Linked DNA regions of Saccharomyces cerevisiae S288C. Each later gene encodes a partner of the first gene's protein in a complex. Each region holds a gene or a part of one and is shown in the gene's direction. Other genes may lie near its edges.

The links. The genes of interacting proteins can lie anywhere in the genome.
Region 2: the proteins of TIM22 (region 1) and TIM9 are in contact, whole or in part, in a cryo-EM structure (PDB 6LO8), measured with the Saccharomyces cerevisiae proteins. Residues at the interface, in NP_010064.1 of Saccharomyces cerevisiae: Glu196 (codon at 3,730), Asp197 (codon at 3,733), Arg199 (codon at 3,739), Pro200 (codon at 3,742), Pro201 (codon at 3,745), Gln202 (codon at 3,748), Asn203 (codon at 3,751), Asp204 (codon at 3,754), Phe205 (codon at 3,757); in NP_010894.1 of Saccharomyces cerevisiae: Thr37 (codon at 1,685), Asp38 (codon at 1,688), Cys39 (codon at 1,691), Asn41 (codon at 1,697), Asp42 (codon at 1,700), Phe43 (codon at 1,703), Thr44 (codon at 1,706), Lys51 (codon at 1,727), Glu52 (codon at 1,730), Cys55 (codon at 1,739), Lys58 (codon at 1,748).
Region 3: the proteins of TIM22 (region 1) and TIM12 are in contact, whole or in part, in a cryo-EM structure (PDB 6LO8), measured with the Saccharomyces cerevisiae proteins. Residues at the interface, in NP_010064.1 of Saccharomyces cerevisiae: Ser41 (codon at 3,265), Cys141 (codon at 3,565), Glu144 (codon at 3,574), Ser145 (codon at 3,577), Leu146 (codon at 3,580), Arg147 (codon at 3,583), Ala148 (codon at 3,586), Lys149 (codon at 3,589), Asn150 (codon at 3,592), Asp197 (codon at 3,733), Gly198 (codon at 3,736), Arg199 (codon at 3,739); in NP_009649.1 of Saccharomyces cerevisiae: Cys44 (codon at 1,662), His47 (codon at 1,671), Glu48 (codon at 1,674), Gly49 (codon at 1,677), Phe50 (codon at 1,680), Gly51 (codon at 1,683), Thr56 (codon at 1,698), Lys57 (codon at 1,701), Gly58 (codon at 1,704), Glu59 (codon at 1,707), Cys61 (codon at 1,713), Cys62 (codon at 1,716), Arg65 (codon at 1,725).

Annotation. Positions count from the first base shown.
Region 1 is NC_001136.10:66,591-71,750, reverse strand, and holds TIM22 (translocation channel protein TIM22), read left to right. Parts: upstream 1-3,144; coding exon 3,145-3,768; downstream 3,769-5,160. Other genes in the region: GDH2 (glutamate dehydrogenase (NAD(+))), read left to right, coding at 1-1,111; COP9 signalosome catalytic subunit RRI1, read left to right, coding at 1,432-2,754; YDL218W (uncharacterized protein), read right to left, coding at 4,305-5,160. UniProt on the Saccharomyces cerevisiae protein: Essential core component of the TIM22 complex, a complex that mediates the import and insertion of multi-pass transmembrane proteins, such as mitochondrial carrier family members, into the mitochondrial inner membrane.
Region 2 is NC_001137.3:115,635-118,066, forward strand, and holds TIM9 (protein transporter TIM9), read left to right. Parts: upstream 1-1,576; coding exon 1,577-1,840; downstream 1,841-2,432. Other genes in the region: Arf family guanine nucleotide exchange factor GEA2, read left to right, coding at 1-166; URA3 (orotidine-5'-phosphate decarboxylase), read left to right, coding at 533-1,336. UniProt on the Saccharomyces cerevisiae protein: Mitochondrial intermembrane chaperone that participates in the import and insertion of multi-pass transmembrane proteins into the mitochondrial inner membrane.
Region 3 is NC_001134.8:426,563-429,016, reverse strand, and holds TIM12 (Tim12p), read left to right. Parts: upstream 1-1,532; coding exon 1,533-1,862; downstream 1,863-2,454. Other genes in the region: acid phosphatase PHO3, read left to right, coding at 1-1,319; YBR090C (uncharacterized protein), read left to right, coding at 1,959-2,143. UniProt on the Saccharomyces cerevisiae protein: Essential component of the TIM22 complex, a complex that mediates the import and insertion of multi-pass transmembrane proteins into the mitochondrial inner membrane.

The DNA of each region.
Region 1 (5,160 bases):
GACTTCTCTGGGTGTTCGTGCTTATGTTAATAAAATTTACGAAACTTTAAACTTGACAAATTCTACTGTTTACAAATTCCAAACTGGTGGTCCGGATGGTGATTTGGGATCCAATGAAATTCTTTTATCTTCGCCAAACGAATGTTATTTGGCAATTCTGGACGGTTCAGGTGTCCTGTGTGATCCTAAAGGTTTAGATAAAGATGAATTATGCCGCTTGGCACATGAAAGGAAAATGATTTCCGATTTCGACACTTCCAAATTATCAAACAACGGATTTTTTGTTTCTGTGGATGCAATGGATATCATGCTACCAAATGGTACAATTGTAGCTAACGGCACAACCTTCAGAAACACCTTTCATACTCAAATTTTCAAATTTGTGGATCATGTCGACATTTTTGTTCCATGCGGTGGTAGACCAAACTCAATTACTCTAAATAATCTACATTATTTTGTTGACGAAAAGACTGGGAAATGTAAAATTCCATATATTGTGGAGGGTGCCAATCTATTTATAACGCAACCTGCTAAAAATGCTTTGGAGGAACATGGCTGTATTCTGTTCAAAGATGCTTCTGCAAACAAAGGTGGTGTCACATCTTCATCAATGGAAGTGTTGGCCTCACTAGCGCTTAACGATAACGACTTCGTGCACAAATTTATTGGAGATGTTAGTGGTGAGAGGTCTGCGTTGTACAAGTCGTACGTTGTAGAAGTGCAGTCAAGAATTCAGAAAAATGCTGAATTAGAGTTTGGTCAGTTATGGAATTTGAATCAACTAAATGGAACCCACATTTCAGAAATTTCAAACCAATTGTCCTTCACTATAAACAAATTGAACGACGATCTAGTTGCTTCTCAAGAGTTGTGGCTCAATGATCTAAAATTAAGAAACTACCTATTGTTGGATAAAATAATTCCAAAAATTCTGATTGATGTTGCTGGGCCTCAGTCCGTATTGGAAAACATTCCAGAGAGCTATTTGAAAGTTCTTCTGTCGAGTTACTTATCAAGCACTTTTGTTTACCAGAACGGTATCGATGTTAACATTGGAAAATTCTTGGAATTTATTGGTGGGTTAAAAAGAGAAGCGGAGGCAAGTGCTTGAGCTTCAATAAAATTGTTTTGTATAAATTAGTTCTGCCGTCAGAAAAGAAAATTAAACATATGTGTATGTTCTTCTCAGCGTTTTATTGTGTACTAAGTAAAGTTGTTTATATGTCCATTATTTTTAATCTAAAAAAAGCATTTGATATTTTTTCCTTCGAGTTATCCATTATACTAGGCAGTTCTCCTCAGGGAGCCATGCTTCAGCTGAAACTTTAGGAAAGGCGCGCTACGCAGGAAGCGCTCTTATTAAAGGGTTTTTCAAATAAACTAAAAATGAATAACAACGATCGAAAATCAATAAAAACTGCAGGAGGCAGCATGTCACTTTCAAATAAGACTGTAAAGGAATTACGACAACTACTAAAGGAAAGGTACACCGTGGAAGATGAACTAACTGAATCTATAGCGCTATCAAGTATGCGATTCAAGCCGTCGCAAGAACCTGAATTTCATGCGCTAAGCCAATCTTCCTTGCTCAAAACTAAACTAAAACAACAAAGTAGTACAGATATTCCGAGTTACACCCACGTACTTATATCAAAATTATCATGTGAAAAGATCACCCATTATGCAGTTCGTGGAGGAAATATTGAAATCATGGGCATATTAATGGGGTTCACATTAAAAGATAATATTGTTGTAATGGATTGTTTCAATCTTCCCGTAGTAGGGACAGAAACTCGCGTAAATGCACAATTGGAGTCATACGAATATATGGTTCAATATATCGACGAGATGTATAATCATAATGACGGTGGTGATGGGCGAGATTACAAGGGCGCTAAACTGAATGTTGTTGGCTGGTTCCATTCACATCCTGGTTACGACTGTTGGTTAAGTAATATAGATATCCAAACCCAGGATTTGAACCAGAGATTCCAAGATCCATATGTCGCAATTGTGGTCGATCCCTTGAAAAGTCTGGAAGATAAAATTTTAAGAATGGGTGCATTTAGGACAATAGAAAGTAAAAGTGATGATAATAGTGCCACTTCATACTATGAACTAGAAACAATCATATTTGATTCAGAATTGAACCGAGCGCTATTTGAAACAAAGTTAAACTTACATTGCGTAATAGAGGATGATGAGTCAGAACAAATATCATTAAATAGATTGATCGATTCAATGAAGCAGTATAGCTATTTGATGGATTCCAAAAATGTTAGAACAAGGATTAAGTTGGCTACTACCAGTGAACGTGTTAGCAACGAAAATAAAAAAAACATTGACTATCAAAACCGTTCAACAAGGTCTCAGTTCTGCCTCAATACGCAAAGGGGGGATAGCACTGAAACAAGCTCCTTTGGAAGCATGTTTTCAGGTGATAATACTAGTGACGTAGATATGGAAGATAGAAACCTTACCGAGTTCGACAGTACTGACACTAGTCTGTGCATAAACGGCGAACCGAGCATTCATGTAAATCGCGTGGAAAGAAGCAGCAGGTCTACCGACAATTTTCACAATTCTAAAAAACGCATGAACAGCAATCAGGAAAGATGTCATGATGAGGGCAATGATATGTTACAGAGAAATGTCTTGGAGACAGATTATGCAAGAGCAAAAAATCGAATACTTGCGTCAAAGATAAAACAATATGAGCGGTTACGTTTTTACAAGGACACCTTTACATTATGAATTCCTAACGTTGCTCCAATGACGCTGCAATAGCTTATGTTTATCTGCAACGTACTTTTAATAGTTATTCCTTCTTGAATCTCTATAAGTATATCTATACCGGGTGACAATTTGATATTTTCGTACGCCGTTATGTGTTGGTTTTTGGTCTTACTGATAAAATGGCATCGAGCTTACAACTGAAGAGAAAGACGATGCATCAGTCAACTTAATTCTCTAATAAAACAGACAGCATTTCCTCGGATCCATTTCGTACATATAAAATCCGAAGCTTTTCAGGACAAAATACTATTTTTCTGTCACTACTAAACGGGATAGTACTAAACGGGATAGTAGAGATAGCTGCCAAATAAGATCAAGAAATTGTGATTTTAAATACTTTATACGAAGATGGTGTACACAGGATTTGGTTTGGAGCAGATAAGTCCAGCTCAAAAGAAACCTTATAATGAACTAACTCCGGAAGAACAGGGTGAACGGGGTGCTGAAATGATCATGAACTTCATGACTTCCTGTCCTGGAAAATCAGTTGTGAGTGGTGTAACAGGGTTTGCACTGGGTGGTGTTTTAGGCCTGTTCATGGCGTCAATGGCATATGATACACCTCTTCATACACCTACACCTGCAAATACAGCAGCAACTGCAACTGCGGGAAATATAGGTGTGGGTGGAATATCAAGAACAGTTCAGCAAATATCTGATTTACCTTTCCGGCAGCAAATGAAACTTCAATTTACCGATATGGGTAAAAAATCCTACTCTAGTGCTAAGAATTTTGGCTACATTGGTATGATATATGCTGGGGTGGAGTGTGTCATAGAGTCACTTAGAGCTAAAAATGATATTTACAACGGAGTAACCGCAGGGTTTTTTACCGGTGCTGGGCTGGCATACAAAGCTGGACCACAAGCTGCCTTAATGGGTGGTGCCGGGTTTGCTGCCTTTTCAGCTGCAATTGATTTGTATATGAAAAGTGAGGATGGTAGACCACCTCAAAACGATTTTAAAGAATGAATAGCCAATTTCGACGAACGATGAATGTTTTATATTTGTAAATATCACCTATCTTAATATTCTGCACGACCGTCCCAGAATTTAAGAACGCTTAATAATTTCCAGAACTACTGTTACTAGTAAAGCAAAAAAATTCCCTGGGAGAATTAATCATGCTTTAACTAGACTCTGGGCCGATCATTTTTGCTGGAAGAAAATGGGAAGTGTAAAAACGATACCCTTTCCAATTTTCCCATGTCGATGAATTCGAGGCGTTAGAGACTGTCGCTAAACTCAAGTGATAGTCACACTTTAATATTAATAAATTGGAAGATTTCAGTCACATATTTGACAGAGGAAAATATAAAAATAAGAAGTAATAAAAGTAAATCATTATATATAAAAAAAATTAAGCATTATTCACACCTGATAAGGATTTTCTAAAAGACGACGCCATTATTAGAACAGGAGCAATTCAAATCGTTAAGCAAAGAAAAGAAAAAGAAAAAGAAAAAGTATGTGAAGGGTATAGACGAACAAAAAGGAAATCATTGAATTTATGGCATTTGATTGACGTTCCTGTTTGGTTCTGCAGTGCTACCACTCATAGCGCCAGAGTGAGCTCCTTCTGTGACCTTTTCTTGATAAGACCGATCACCTGACTCATCCGTAGAGTAAGCGTGCTGGTCCACTGCACTGTTAGCGACATTCGCAGAACCAGGATTACGATCGTTGGTGGTGTAACGCGTCTTAGGGTCCGCTGTTGTTGTGGTGTAACGTGTGTTGGTGGTGGTAGTATGGTACTGCCCATTGGGGTCATTAGTTGCATAGCGTGCGTCGCCATTCGGTTCAGATGTGTAAGCAGCATTATCACCTGCACCTGCTTCGACATCACCGGTCCTAACATTGGTGTTATCGTAAGCAGCTGTTTCTTCAAAAGGCTCGCTTAAAGCTAGTCCGCTCCACCTATGGAGCTTTGTACCCATAGAAGCGCCGCTTCTCCACATTCCTTGGGTTTGATAACGCTTCCTGATAGGTGTTAAGACATTAATTCCCAGTAATATCACACTGATCAAAAACAGTACAAAGCAAAGGCCAGAAAAGGCGATTGCCGCCTGAGAAGAATTACATGCTCTTCTATGACTGTCAGCAGTATATTGGCCACTGTACGGATTATAGTATAATCCGTCTGCATTAGTGTTGCTACAGCTACGTTCACCTTGAGCTTTGGCAAGAACAACGAAAGCTGCTAGCCATAGCATACAAACGATCAATTCGGCACAGAAGTACATTCCTATGTAGATCAATGTGGGTAGGGCCAGACACAAAATACCTAAGGCAATCAGATAAAACACACTAATGACACCTGTTGCCAATGTGAAGTTGGTTTTCTTATTACCTCTATTTCCATAG
Region 2 (2,432 bases), on another chromosome or scaffold:
ACTTGATAAGAAGAGTATTGAGAAGGGCAACGGTTCATCATCTCATGGATCTGCACATGAACAAACACCAGAGTCAAACGACGTTGAAATTGAGGCTACTGCGCCAATTGATGACAATACAGACGATGATAACAAACCGAAGTTATCTGATGTAGAAAAGGATTAAAGATGCTAAGAGATAGTGATGATATTTCATAAATAATGTAATTCTATATATGTTAATTACCTTTTTTGCGAGGCATATTTATGGTGAAGGATAAGTTTTGACCATCAAAGAAGGTTAATGTGGCTGTGGTTTCAGGGTCCATAAAGCTTTTCAATTCATCTTTTTTTTTTTTGTTCTTTTTTTTGATTCCGGTTTCTTTGAAATTTTTTTGATTCGGTAATCTCCGAGCAGAAGGAAGAACGAAGGAAGGAGCACAGACTTAGATTGGTATATATACGCATATGTGGTGTTGAAGAAACATGAAATTGCCCAGTATTCTTAACCCAACTGCACAGAACAAAAACCTGCAGGAAACGAAGATAAATCATGTCGAAAGCTACATATAAGGAACGTGCTGCTACTCATCCTAGTCCTGTTGCTGCCAAGCTATTTAATATCATGCACGAAAAGCAAACAAACTTGTGTGCTTCATTGGATGTTCGTACCACCAAGGAATTACTGGAGTTAGTTGAAGCATTAGGTCCCAAAATTTGTTTACTAAAAACACATGTGGATATCTTGACTGATTTTTCCATGGAGGGCACAGTTAAGCCGCTAAAGGCATTATCCGCCAAGTACAATTTTTTACTCTTCGAAGACAGAAAATTTGCTGACATTGGTAATACAGTCAAATTGCAGTACTCTGCGGGTGTATACAGAATAGCAGAATGGGCAGACATTACGAATGCACACGGTGTGGTGGGCCCAGGTATTGTTAGCGGTTTGAAGCAGGCGGCGGAAGAAGTAACAAAGGAACCTAGAGGCCTTTTGATGTTAGCAGAATTGTCATGCAAGGGCTCCCTAGCTACTGGAGAATATACTAAGGGTACTGTTGACATTGCGAAGAGCGACAAAGATTTTGTTATCGGCTTTATTGCTCAAAGAGACATGGGTGGAAGAGATGAAGGTTACGATTGGTTGATTATGACACCCGGTGTGGGTTTAGATGACAAGGGAGACGCATTGGGTCAACAGTATAGAACCGTGGATGATGTGGTCTCTACAGGATCTGACATTATTATTGTTGGAAGAGGACTATTTGCAAAGGGAAGGGATGCTAAGGTAGAGGGTGAACGTTACAGAAAAGCAGGCTGGGAAGCATATTTGAGAAGATGCGGCCAGCAAAACTAAAAAACTGTATTATAAGTAAATGCATGTATACTAAACTCACAAATTAGAGCTTCAATTTAATTATATCAGTTATTACCCGGGAATCTCGGTCGTAATGATTTCTATAATGACGAAAAAAAAAAAATTGGAAAGAAAAAGCTTCATGGCCTTTATAAAAAGGAACTATCCAATACCTCGCCAGAACCAAGTAACAGTATTTTACGGGGCACAAATCAAGAACAATAAGACAGGACTGTAAAGATGGACGCATTGAACTCCAAAGAACAACAAGAGTTCCAAAAAGTAGTGGAACAAAAGCAAATGAAGGATTTCATGCGTTTGTACTCTAATCTGGTAGAAAGATGTTTCACAGACTGTGTCAATGACTTCACAACATCAAAGCTAACCAATAAGGAACAAACATGCATCATGAAGTGCTCAGAAAAGTTCTTGAAGCATAGCGAACGTGTAGGGCAGCGTTTCCAAGAACAAAACGCTGCCTTGGGACAAGGCTTGGGCCGATAAGGTGTACTGGCGTATATATATCTAATTATGTATCTCTGGTGTAGCCCATTTTTAGCATGTAAATATAAAGAGAAACCATATCTAATCTAACCAAATCCAAACAAAATTCAATAGTTACTATCGCTTTTTTCTTTCTGTATCGCAAATAAGTGAAAATTAAAAAAGAAAGATTAAATTGGAAGTTGGATATGGGCTGGAACAGCAGCAGTAATCGGTATCGGGTTCGCCACTAATGACGTCCTACGATTGCACTCAACAGACCTTGACGCTCACGCCGTAGCGGGCGACAAGTCAAACGGAACAACCGTTGCCGTTCCCATCGGAGTCCGACCTAGGCCGAACTCCGTGAATTTCTGATAACAACGGTCGGTAAAGACTGGTTCCCCAGTATATTTCTTCTCTCAGGAGCAGGGGCCAATGCCAAAAGCGACATTAACCCGGAGGACAAGGCTCCACTGTGTTCCACCGAATTTCCCACCTGATAATATCTGATAACCCGCCCATAGGTGGGGATCCTTCTGTAAACAGGTTTCTTAATCGTAGGAATTACCACTGTTCCACTGCCAATCGCAGCTCCCAGAGTTTCGTTCCC
Region 3 (2,454 bases), on another chromosome or scaffold:
CCAAAATTGGCACTCAGGAAGACATATTCCCATTCCTGGGTGGTGCCGGGCCATACTTCTCTTTCCCTGGCGACTATGGTATTTCTCGTGACTTGCCTGAAGGTTGTGAAATGAAACAATTGCAAATGCTTGCCAGACATGGTGAAAGATACCCAACTTACAGTAAAGGTGCTACCATCATGAAAACATGGTATAAGTTGAGCAATTACACACGTCAATTCAACGGCTCATTGTCATTCTTGAACGATGATTACGAGTTTTTCATCCGTGATGACGATGATTTGGAAATGGAAACCACTTTTGCCAACTCAGACAATGTTTTGAATCCATACACTGGTGAGATGGATGCTAAGAGACATGCTCGTGAGTTTTTAGCGCAATATGGCTACATGTTCGAAAATCAAACCAGTTTCCCAATTTTCGCCGCTAGTTCTGAAAGGGTTCATGACACTGCTCAATATTTCATTGATGGTTTAGGTGACCAATTCAACATCTCCTTGCAGACTGTCAGTGAAGCCATGTCCGCCGGCGCAAACACTTTGAGTGCTGGTAATGCGTGCCCAGGATGGGATGAAGATGCTAACGATGACATTTTGGACAAATACGATACCACATACTTGGATGACATTGCCAAGAGATTAAACAAAGAAAACAAGGGTTTGAATTTGACCTCAAAGGACGCCAACACTTTGTTTGCATGGTGTGCATACGAATTGAACGCTAGAGGCTACAGTGATGTTTGTGATATCTTCACCGAAGATGAATTGGTACGTTACTCATACGGCCAGGACCTGGTATCGTTTTACCAGGATGGACCAGGTTATGATATGATCAGATCCGTCGGTGCCAACTTGTTTAACGCTACTTTGAAGTTGTTAAAGCAAAGTGAAACTCAAGACTTAAAAGTCTGGTTGAGTTTTACCCACGATACCGATATCCTAAACTATTTGACCACCGCTGGTATAATTGACGACAAAAACAACTTAACTGCCGAATACGTTCCATTCATGGGCAACACCTTCCATAAGTCCTGGTACGTTCCTCAAGGTGCTCGTGTCTACACCGAAAAATTCCAATGTTCTAACGACACCTACGTCAGATACGTCATTAACGATGCTGTCGTTCCAATTGAAACCTGTTCCACCGGCCCAGGGTTCTCTTGTGAAATCAATGATTTCTACGACTATGCTGAAAAGAGAGTAGCTGGTACTGACTTCCTAAAGGTCTGTAACGTCAGCAGTGTCAGTAACGTCACCGAATTGACCTTCTACTGGGACTGGAATACTACTCACTACAACGATACCCTATTAAAACAATAAATTGTATAAATAAATAATATTGCAAATATAAATAAATACCCATCGATTCTGATCTTCTTTTATGTACTAGTAGGGTAACGAGTTTGTAGATTAGCGGCAGAATGAAAAGAAAAAAGTTAACTAAAAAGTAAGAACAGCAAAGTTGATTGTAGTCTATATTGCTGAAATAGATATCGGAGCTCCCGTATAATATTAAAGTGCACCAAGAAAAGGATGTCGTTCTTTTTAAATAGTCTAAGGGGCAACCAGGAGGTCTCGCAAGAGAAGCTAGACGTTGCAGGAGTGCAATTCGATGCGATGTGCTCGACTTTCAACAATATTCTCAGTACGTGTCTTGAGAAATGTATTCCGCATGAGGGCTTTGGTGAGCCTGATCTAACGAAAGGTGAGCAATGCTGCATAGACAGATGTGTGGCAAAGATGCATTACAGCAATCGCCTCATTGGAGGATTTGTACAAACACGAGGTTTCGGGCCAGAGAATCAGCTACGACATTATTCGCGATTTGTGGCCAAAGAAATAGCTGATGATTCCAAAAAATAGCTGTAAATATGAGGACTGTCTGTGCTGTTTGTATATAATAGTAACCTGCATATATAGCATTATAAGCTGTGTAGACAATTTTAGAAGTACATTTATATGGTACCCGCACCTGGGTCACGTGCATTCCCCTCACCCGTTTTTTTAGGTGGTGTCTTTTTTGTTTTTTTTTTTAGGTGGCGCGGCAACTATAAAGTACAGCAAGTGAGGTTGAGGCAATACTGGGAGTTTACACTATGGGAGACAGCTCCTAACACCAAGCAGAAAAACGACTTTTTCGCAAAGTATGTAAGGCGCTGGGTGAGCCCAGCGGACGAGGATGGGCTTAATAAGAACGTACAGTTTAGCACAGCTAGAACAGGATACAGCTAAGGGCAACTCTGCTTTTCGGGAGAAGTTAAAGAGGGGTAGACAATGATGGTAATCTTATAAACCGGCTACAATGAAGGTTGTAGCAGCAAGGAAGATGATATTTTAATACGGTTCAGGTGAAATGAAATAGCCGCCCATAACGGCATGCTCAAGTTGTAAGTCAGGACTCTAGCTTTCTACTGTAGTATCCTCTAAAGGACTGCTGTTCTGTGCACCCCCTTCC